Linked DNA regions of Bombyx mori. The protein of the gene in region 1 interacts with the protein of each later gene in a pairwise test. Links are inferred from orthologs where the notes say so. Each region holds a gene or a part of one and is shown in the gene's direction. Other genes may lie near its edges.

What was found. The genes of interacting proteins can lie anywhere in the genome.
Region 2: the proteins of ribosomal protein S6 kinase delta-1 (region 1) and proteasome zeta subunit interact in a two-hybrid assay, tested with the Drosophila melanogaster proteins (2 studies listed by BioGRID). The link is inferred for Bombyx mori from reciprocal best matches to the Drosophila melanogaster genes CG7156 and Prosalpha5.

The regions. Positions count from the first base shown.
Region 1 is NC_085134.1:498,913-503,756, forward strand, and holds part of ribosomal protein S6 kinase delta-1, read left to right. Parts: intron 1-535; coding exon 536-712; intron 713-1,911; coding exon 1,912-2,006; intron 2,007-2,267; coding exon 2,268-2,438; intron 2,439-2,970; coding exon 2,971-3,336; intron 3,337-3,641; coding exon 3,642-3,754; intron 3,755-4,844.
Region 2 is NC_085134.1:3,203,641-3,208,972, reverse strand, and holds the start of proteasome zeta subunit, read left to right. Parts: upstream 1-1,918; 5' UTR 1,919-2,111; intron 2,112-2,220; coding exon 2,221-2,477; intron 2,478-2,695; coding exon 2,696-2,874; intron 2,875-3,145; coding exon 3,146-3,258; intron 3,259-3,854; coding exon 3,855-4,016; coding exon of another isoform or gene 4,017-4,037; exon of another isoform or gene 4,038-4,987; intron 4,988-5,332. UniProt on the Drosophila melanogaster protein: The proteasome is a multicatalytic proteinase complex which is characterized by its ability to cleave peptides with Arg, Phe, Tyr, Leu, and Glu adjacent to the leaving group at neutral or slightly basic pH.

The DNA.
Region 1 (4,844 bases):
TTTTTTTTGTTTTGTTTCATGTGTGTTTTAATGTTTCCGAAGCGAAGCGAGGGCGGGTCACTAGTATTTATATAAAGCCGAATGGCTTCACTAATTTTCTTTTTTTGGCTCCGGCACGATTTGTGCATTAGCCAGCGTCAAGTAACAAGATTTTTATAATTCGCCGTTTTAATTCTTTACAGTTTATGAATAATAAAAAACGAAGGAAACTAATCGCGACATAACATAAATGATTAAAAACGAATAAAATTTACAAATGAGATGATATGTGATGAAATATAACCTCAGTAAAATGGTGGCCATTTACTGAGACTTTTTCAGTTAATTTTTCGGAGGATCCCGAGAAGCTACGTCCAGCGGCATTTTCCCACATTTGTGCACCTTCACAGATTCTAAACAGTTAATAAACCACCGTTATTACACATTTAAACCTGAAGAAACACTAAATAAACAAAATAAAACAATTCACACAACTTCACTTCTTGCGTTCCCGCCAAAAAGTCCCGGCTTCACTAATTAGATAGTGTTTACGTAGCAGACAGTGCCCTGTCCCCCTCGCACGCGGGGCGCGGGACGAGGACGGAGGACAGCTACATATTCGAGGCGGGCTACATGCTGAACTTGGCGGCGCGGTGCGAGGACGCGGGGGACTACGCGGGCGCCCTGGACCACTACAAGGCCGGCATCGAGAAGCTACTCGTCGGCGCCCGCTGTGAGCACCTCAGCGACACCACTCACGAACACTCACACTAGTACAGTCCGACTTTAATGAACGCCCACGCTAGTACAGTCCGACTTTAATGAACGCTCACACTAGTACAGTCCGACTTTAATGAACGCCCACGCTAGTACAGTCCGACTTTAATGAACGCTCACACTAGTACAGTCCGACTTTAATGAACGCCCACGCTAGTACAGTCCGACTTTAATGAACGCCCACGCTAGTACAGTCCGACTTTAATGAATGCTCACACTAGTACAGTCCGACTTTAATGAACGCCCACGCTAGTACAGTCCGACTTTAATGAACGCTCACACTAGTACAGTCCGACTTTAATGAACGCCCACGCTAGTACAGTCCGACTTTAATGAACGCTCACACTAGTACAGTCCGACTTTAATGAACGCCCACGCTAGTACAGTCCGACTTTAATGAATGCTCACACTAGTACAGTCCGACTTTAATGAACGCTCACACTAGTACAGTCCGACTTTAATGAACGCTCACACTAGTACAGTCCGAATTTAATGAACGTTCACACTAGTACTTCTTCTTGTTTATTTCTTCTTGTTTGTTTAAACTTCATGAATTGTCATGAAATTAAATGAAATGAGATGAGATGAAATATGATTTTAGTAAAATGGTGGTTATTTACTGAGATTTTCTCAGTGGACTTAAAAATTACGTTCAGCAGTTTTGTTTCATTTTCCCACATTTATGCACTTTCACAGATACTAAACACTTAATAAACCACCGTTATTAAAAACGAAATAAACAAAATTCAAAACAAATCACACAACTTCACTCCTCCCGCCAAAAAATCCTTTGTTTGTACTTGTTATATTATCTGTGGCGTGGGCTGTCAATATTCATTAGGGCTCTGGTTTTTTTTCCTACCTATGCTGATAGCCTTGAGAAGCTATTTCAGCTTCATCCTAACGTGTGTAGGTGAGCTCACGGGGCCGGAATGTTCCTATCACTGGCCCTAGCAAAAGTAGTGCTTCGCAGAATCTACCACCCGATCGAAAACGCGGCCCACTAAGAAGATCCGGCGAGAAACTCAGTGGGCTGGGCTCTGGAATGTGGAGAATTTATCTATTTAGTTAAACTGTGCTAGTGTCAGCCCTGCACGCACTATTCTATTGGCGTGGGCTGGTGCACGGCGGACGGTACAGCGGCGCGTGTTGCAGCGGACGCGGACGGCGCGCGGCGGGCGCTGGTCCGGCAGCGCACGCACGCCTACCTGGCGCACGCAGAGCGACTGTGCAGCGCGCGCACACAGCACGTGAGGACACACTACTCTACGTTCCATTAGAATTGTTCTTCACATTTTAGTAAAATTCTAATGATTTATATTCTAAATCCCTAAGTAAAGTTAACGTCGAGCACTGTGACTATACTCGTAGCGATAATCTATTCAAACTAAAACGTATTTCATTCATAAATTGTTAGCGAAATTTCATAATATCGTTTCCTGTGACAATATGCATAAATATATAGTTAATTAATTATATATTTCTGAGTCGGTGAACTCACGGTTGTGCAGGTCGCGGGTGGAGTGGCGCGCGGCGTGGCGGAGCGCGGCGGGGCGGCGCGGGACGGCGCGGCGCGGAGCGGGTCGCGTGCGGAGCTGTGCGCGTACGTGCTGCTGGGCGTGGTGCGGCCGCGGCTGCTGCTGGTGCTGCACGCCAGCACCGACACGTGCTACGTCATGAAGGTGCGAGTACTGCCGTGCCAATAGTCGACTTTTTTTCTGTTTCACTTTGAATTACTTTAAACGCACTAAAAGATTATTTGGTCTAGAATTCACATTAAAATAGTTCATAAAAAAACATATTTGACTTCCCCCTCATGCGTCAGGGCGGCCGGGCCCGGCGACTATTTACCGTGTGGCTCTTAGTGAGATGATGTGCGAAGTAAATAACCCTGTTCTCACACGTACAGAGCCGGCTCCAGTTCGTTAGGTTTTTTTTTGAGCCGGCGAGTTCAACCTCCAGCGGGCGCGGGTGCGGGACTGCTGAGTTGTAAGATGCGATCCACTAAACGACTCTTCACACTCTGTCCGGGTTCTGACCAAAAAAATGCAAGGGAGTTTTTTAGTGGGTAGGACCCCCAAAAATTTCCTTGGGCCCGCGGTCGGCCCTTGGGTTAACTCACCATTTGCAGACCGCTGAGTCTCACACATCCCGCACACCCCTAGACGCGGATAGCAGGTATGAGGCCCGGTGAGCCAGCTGGTTGAGTCGCAGGTGCTGGACAAGGTGCCGAGCAACGAGCCGGAGGGGGAGTGGCGGCGCCCCGTGCTGCCCGGGCCGGCGCCCTACATGGTGCGGCTGCACGCGCTCATCGAGACGGAGGACTCGCTGTTCCTGGTGCTGACGTACGCGCCGGGCGAGCGCCTGTGCGAGTACGTGCGCCGGTACGCCGCCGCGCCCGCCGCCAAGCCGCGCCCGCCCGACCTGCGCTGCGTGCTCGCCGACCGCGCCGCGCCGGGGGACGACGTGCGCGACCTGCTGCACAACTCCAAGGAGCTGCTGCTGACCGTGGACCGGGCGCTGGGCGGCGGCGCGCAGACAACTACCCCGGACGAGCACACCACGGCCGCTGGCACCGGGGTGAGCGCATCCTATATTGTATAATACAATATTTGTTTATAACTAAATTTCAATGCATTTTCATTTCTAACAAAAATGCCTTATGATTATTATTTTTTGCATTATAATTGGAATATTCTTGTGTCCTTTACAAGATAATTTAACTGATAATTTAAATTAAGATTAGAATTTTCGTCTTGTCGTTCGAAGTAATCTCTTCTGGACAACTGATAGACAGTGTTACACACTAACAGGAACACAACATTTATGTGTTATAACTTTTTCGTTTTGTAATGAATGTGGGTAACAAATATATATATATATAGTTGGAGCCGCGCATGCGGTACCGGGACGCGGTGCCGCCGGGCGCGGTGCGGCGCTGGGCCGCGGAGCTGGTGACCGCGCTGGAGAGTCTGCACGCGGCCGGCGTGGTGTGCGTGTGGGTACCTGCTCTCTACACCGGCACCGCAGTACTGCTAGTGCACTGGACGGTGCATTGTCCAGACGCGCACAGCTAGAGATGCCCAACAGGAAAATCGAAACAATACAAAAAGCTATTCTATATTAAAGCGTTTTTATTAGCACGCAATGTACAGCACACGCGCTTTCGTGGGTGCCCGGTCGGTCTGCCTTTGCGTTACGTTGCTCTTACATGGAAATTGAATTATTTAAAATATCGCTATGATTTAGCTTATTTAGTTTTTTACTTACGCTCGTTAGGTTTGAGCTCTGTGAGCTCACCTACTTGTTAGGGCTACGCTGAAATGGCCTTTCAAGACCATCAGCTTGGTAGGATTTATTTTTTTACGTAGTTTTGATTTTGGGATTGTTTTATCGCAACTTTCTTACTGTAATATAGTTTATGTCACGTCTATCCCGGAGAACGGTAGAGCGCAAGTGTTGGGGTCCAAGGGGAAGTTTGTTGAGTTCCAAAGAGTTAGTGTGTTGTTTGAGCACCTTTATTATGTCGGTTAAGCACAGATGGTAACGTGTTAACGAGTGCGTGTTGCTAAGTGCACTGCTCTAATAATATAATAAAATAACCTGACACCACAATGACGACGCACGGCGTGTCCACGTATTATTTAGGTATGTACAAACCGTACATCTTGGCAACCCAAAAGAGCAAGAAACAATTGATTAACAATAAATGAAATAGTTCGTAAGCTTAAATAAAAATGTAAAAAATATAAAAGTTAAAAATGTAAAGGTAAAAGTAAAAATATGTATAAAATGACATTTCACAACAAAATTACTTAAAATTTAACTTAATCAAAACTAAAGGCAAAGTTGGTTCCACTGGTGTTTACGCTTCGGGCTGGCTTCGGTGGAGGCGCGACTTGGGATTGAACACCATCATCTCGTCGGTCGTGCCGCAGGTGAAATGTTTGAAGTTCGATATCTTCAGTGGGTGCAAGTGGATGGCTCTTCTTTTTCCTTAAGCAGTGGGAATGTTTCCTCACAACCCACACGAGACCAATAACCAGAGCTGCTACTAATAATAAGTATGTAATGACATACTGATGTAT
Region 2 (5,332 bases), about 2.7 Mb from region 1:
CCACAATGATTTGTTTTTAACAAACAGTAACAAAAAAAAGTGTTAATCCTAATTTCTAGATTTACTTCGATCAATAAAATGTGTTTTAAAAATATCTTCATCTAATACGTATTTAATAATAATAATAAATTACTACCTAGTTAAATATTTACGAATTTCTCTTTAATTTAATTACTTCAATAACTAATAACTAATTAATTACCTAGCATAAAATAAATACACAAATGCGCAAGCACTAGTTTCTGGTATTTAACTAATTATATACGTCAAATATAGAGATGTAGACACATAAACATTATAACGTTTTTTAAGCATCACTAGATAATGTATTCATTTTCATCATCAGGGTAATCGAAAAGGTAAGTACCACATACGTATGTGTACATTAATACAATAAGTTAATAATGGATGAATGTCTGTTGTAAATAATGATAGGTACCTATGTACATCGTACACTGACCTGATAAGAACCTTTGCTGATTGCTTTGTTAAAGTTGTGATAACATAGGGCTAGTTGATACTGTTATGGGCTAGCTTGCGACTTGCAAATAGTAACCACGGAATAAGCTGTTAAGCAATGCTACTGTAGTAGTAACAAGGTACTGTATAGAAACGATCATCTATAAACTGATCGACCAGTAACGTGTTGGTATGGCAAGCAGTGTAAATCGATCTCTGAAACTATCCCCTTTACCTTACTATTGAACTTAAACCTGAGTCTAAGTAAAAGTTCCTTGCTAATTGACCAATAGAGTTACTTTGTCACCACCTACTACGAGACCCATAGATAATATAGGTACTTACCAGATATTTTTGTTTGGTTCCTTCAATAGACAGGCAAGGGAATTTTATCTCATACAGTCACATCTCGCTATTTACAAAAGGGCGAAGCGACAGGCGCCTGCTGTTAAAAAGGGGAATTTTTATTAGATTGGTGAATGAACTCGCGGACCATCTGGTGTTAAGTAATTACTGGAGCCTGCAGACTTTTACAACGTAAATGCCGCAACCCACCTTAAGACATGAGTTCAAAGGGATGTTTTTACGGAACAACGCCTGCTCCACCTTCGCTCAAACCGAGTTGCATTACTTCGTTACAGCAGAAATAGGCAGGGTGGTACTGGTGGCACAGTTGCCAGGTGGTTCTCGGGTTCTTGCAGTCACACTTTTTTACTGGTGGTAGGACCTCTTGTGAGTCCGCACGGGTAGGCACCACCACCCTGCCTATTTTTGCCGTGAAGCAGTAATGCGTTTCGGTTTGAAGGGTGGGGAGCCGTTGTAACTATAATTGAGACCTTAGAACTTATATCTCAAGGTGGGTGGCGCATTTACGTTGTAGATGTCTATGGGCTCCAGTAACCACTTAACACCAGGTGGGCTGTGAGCTCGTCCACTCATCTAAGCAATAAAAAATAAAAAAAATTAATATAAAAACACTTACAATTTCACATATTGTAATCGATTAATATTAACTTTTATAAAGTGCGCGTGTTATGATTATTAAACGCTGGATCATGTACTCTGACACCTCGTTTTCACTTATGCATGCAATAAAAGTATTTAAAACTTATTGAATGCAAAATAAACTCTATCGCAAACTCTATTGGCAACAAAGTTACACTATAATTTAAACAAGAAGCTTTCACTAATGTGGAAGATACAAATTCAAGATTCGTTTTTAAAACAAAAATTTATTGAGTTTTCAATTTACCGTAGAAAATATAAAAAAATCGAAGAAAAACAAATTGACAAGAATCATGTTAACTTTTTTGGCGTAAGCGTGAGGTGATATATTATCTCAATAGTTTGGGTTTATATTTTGAGTAGTTTTTTCATCTCATTTTATCCTTGTCACATTCCATTTCACCCTTTGCGCAAGAGAAATAGCTTTGGCTTGGGTAAGTTAAGATTCGGCTGTATAGGCTGCGTTTTCATTGCTTGTTCAATAGACGTTTCAAACAAATTTGACACAGTGTTTTGTAAAAGTTGGTTTTTATTTTCTATGTTTCCAATTTTCTCTGAATATAAATTAAATTAAATTAAGATAAAACCTGGACTAAGAATTCTCATTATTAGAATCGTGGTGTCATCTAGAGTACCCTAATAGTAAAGTATGTTTTAGATCATTCATTTTTAATGAAAATTCGTATTATGAACAAAATCGCTTTGTCACGACTTCGGCTAACCTTTCAACCGGTGGTTTTTTCACAATTTTCCCAGATGTTTCTCACACGTTCCGAGTATGATCGCGGCGTCAACACATTCAGCCCTGAAGGAAGGCTGTTCCAGGTGGAATACGCCATAGAAGCTATCAAACTTGGCTCCACTGCAATTGGCATTTGTACTTCGGAGGGAGTTGTTTTGGCGGTGGAAAAAAGGATAACTTCAACTTTGATGGAACCCACGACCATCGAAAAGATTGTTGAAGTAGATCGACACATCGCTTGCGCCGTTTCGGGTCTAATGGCCGACTCCAGGTTGGTCTCGTAATACTGAAAATGTATTATGATTATTTATATGAAGGTATATGCTGGTAGGCAGCGGCTTGGCTCTGCCCCTGGCATTGCTGAAGTCCATGGGCGACGGTAACCACTCACCATCCGGTGGGCCGTATGCTCGTCTGCCTACAAGGGCAATAAAAAAAAATTAATGTTAAAAAAATATGCGACACTAATTTTTTTATATAATTCTGCAGGACCTTAGTTGAAAGGGCCCGAGTTGAATGTCAAAACCACTGGTTTGTGTACAATGAGCGTATGAGTGTAGAATCATGTGCTCAGGCCGTTTCCAACTTAGCTATACAGTTTGGAGACAGTGACGATGATAGCGGAACAGCCATGTCACGGCCATTTGGTGTTGCTGTTATGTTTGCAGGTATGTGTAATTTAGAGCTGTTTGTTTTTTAGAATTATATATACATCAGAAGAGTGATTATATTTCTTTCATATATAATTCTTGCTCAAATAACGCCCATAAAAAATTCTAGTGTGTATAGCTAAATAAATAAGAATTTAGGAGTAAATGCTTGTTTATAAATATAAGTAAAAGTATTAATGTAAATGCAAAAAAAAAACACATCCATCGCATTTCATCAGAGTAATAGTTCTATAAATAATTATGATGTATATTTCATATCCAATTACAGGCATTGATGAGAAAGGCCCTCAACTGTTTCATATGGACCCGAGTGGTACATTTGTGCAGTATGATGCCAAGGCCATTGGTTCTGGCAGTGAAGGTGCCCAGCAGAGTTTGAAGGTAAGTACAGTGGATGTTCCATAATATCGTCTTCTCGCATTAAAACTGTATAATCTCAAAACTTACTAATTTTACAGGAGAGTGTTTTAAAGGTTTATCAAGTGATATTTTTAATATTAATCATCTTTGCAACATTTATTTTTTATTTTTTACCAGATACATTAACTGTCTTTTAAAGTAAGATAAAATTATGTATTAATTTTGTTAATAGTAGTCAAAATATAGGTAAACTAAAAAAAAACATAAAACTAAACTATGCTCTTTTGACAGTATTTATGAGAAAAATACTGGAATATTTTTGGAAATTGTACACTTTTAAAGCAAAAAGACAATATGTCAACTAAAAGATTATTATACTAACATTTTTTTGATGATATTAGGTAATCTTGAGACTTTTAGACTAAAGACTTTTCAATTAAGAGCTAATGAGGAATAGGTCTAGTTACTGGTCTTTCAACTATCATTACATGCACTGCTTGCATTTATTAGTGTTTAAAAAAAATTAATAAATGTGAGTAGTATGTAGTGCTCTTGGTTTTATTATTTAAACCTATTTGAAAAACTGGGATAAGACTAATCATAATTTCTCATACCAGGAGATTTATCACAAGTCGATGACCCTCAAAGAGGCCATCAAGTCTGCACTCACCATACTGAAGCAGGTCATGGAGGAAAAGCTCTCGGAGAACAATGTTGAAGTAGTGACAATGACTCCTGGATCATTGTTCCACATGTTCACAAGGGAACAACTTGCTGAGGTTATCAAAGACATACCTTAAAAATGTAGTTTGGTGTGCAGTTTTTGAAGGGAGATTAGACATATGGCACTAAATAACTAATCATATCTTATTATAAATCTCACATTTATTTGGAATTTCCAGAAACACCACCCTTTAAAATAAGATAGTGGAATTGGGATTCTAAAGCTATAAAGTATTTTGGCTCATTAGTAGGTAGGGCATTTATCTCAAATAATAAAGAGATCAACTCTGTTAGAAGGCCAAACCTTGTGATATTTTCTGTATTACTCTTAACTTATCAATAGATATTGATTTACAGATATAGTTTTTTTATAAGGATAATGAATTCATGTTTATCATGTCAAAATAATAATTCAGAACACATGAATAAAACTGTGTTGAGTCAGACAGTGCTACTTTTCATATAAACTTTTAGAACTATAATAATTAATGTCTACACTTCCTTCATTAACTGTTTAGTTATTAATAAAAACTAATTTTTTTGTATATCGAGTTATATTTTGAGAAAATTGTGTAAAGATATTGTATTATTGATTATGATATTTATTATTATCCTTTTTTATATATAATATTAGTATTTTTTGAATTGTAACTGTTGTCATTCTCATACTTTTCATTAAACAGATACAGATTTTGTCAGTTCGTAAAGTAAATAATTTTACAATTTCTATCGTTCACACTCAAATAGTCTCAAAAATTATTATTCTGTATTATAGAATTGAAAATTGAGATAAAGTTATAAACTGTTTTATATGTACTGTTTATTTTCATCAATCTGAGATTGACAGCCTTGTATGTGTTTGATTTATATCATGTAGTTATACTGAGTATTTCATTGGTAATGTTTCGTGAATATTTTACTTTAGTATTGTATTTAGACACAGTTTTTTTAAAATATCACGCAAGGATGAGGGCGTTGAACAGTGAGTATTACTGTTTATTAATAAAAATATGTAACATATTTAAAATTTTTGTAATTATTTCATTACCGTCATCATCTCACCGGAGATCTCATTATTTTTGCGGAGAGCGGTTGTTGACAACGCGTGCGATCGAATATTATAGAATCTGGTATCCGTGATATGGTATTCAGTGACTGACTACTCAACCTTAGTCATATTACCTGTATCAGTTCTGACCTTTCCCATTTGATTTCCTTACTAAACTTAGCTCCTATAGTGGGTTGTACAGTGAATCCGGAGTCCACATTTATTGTGCTCGTTCAGTCTAATTTTGTTTGTTGTTGTTGAGTTCACGGCCCACCTGGTGTTAAGTGGTACTGGAGTCCATAGACAACTACAGTATAAATACCG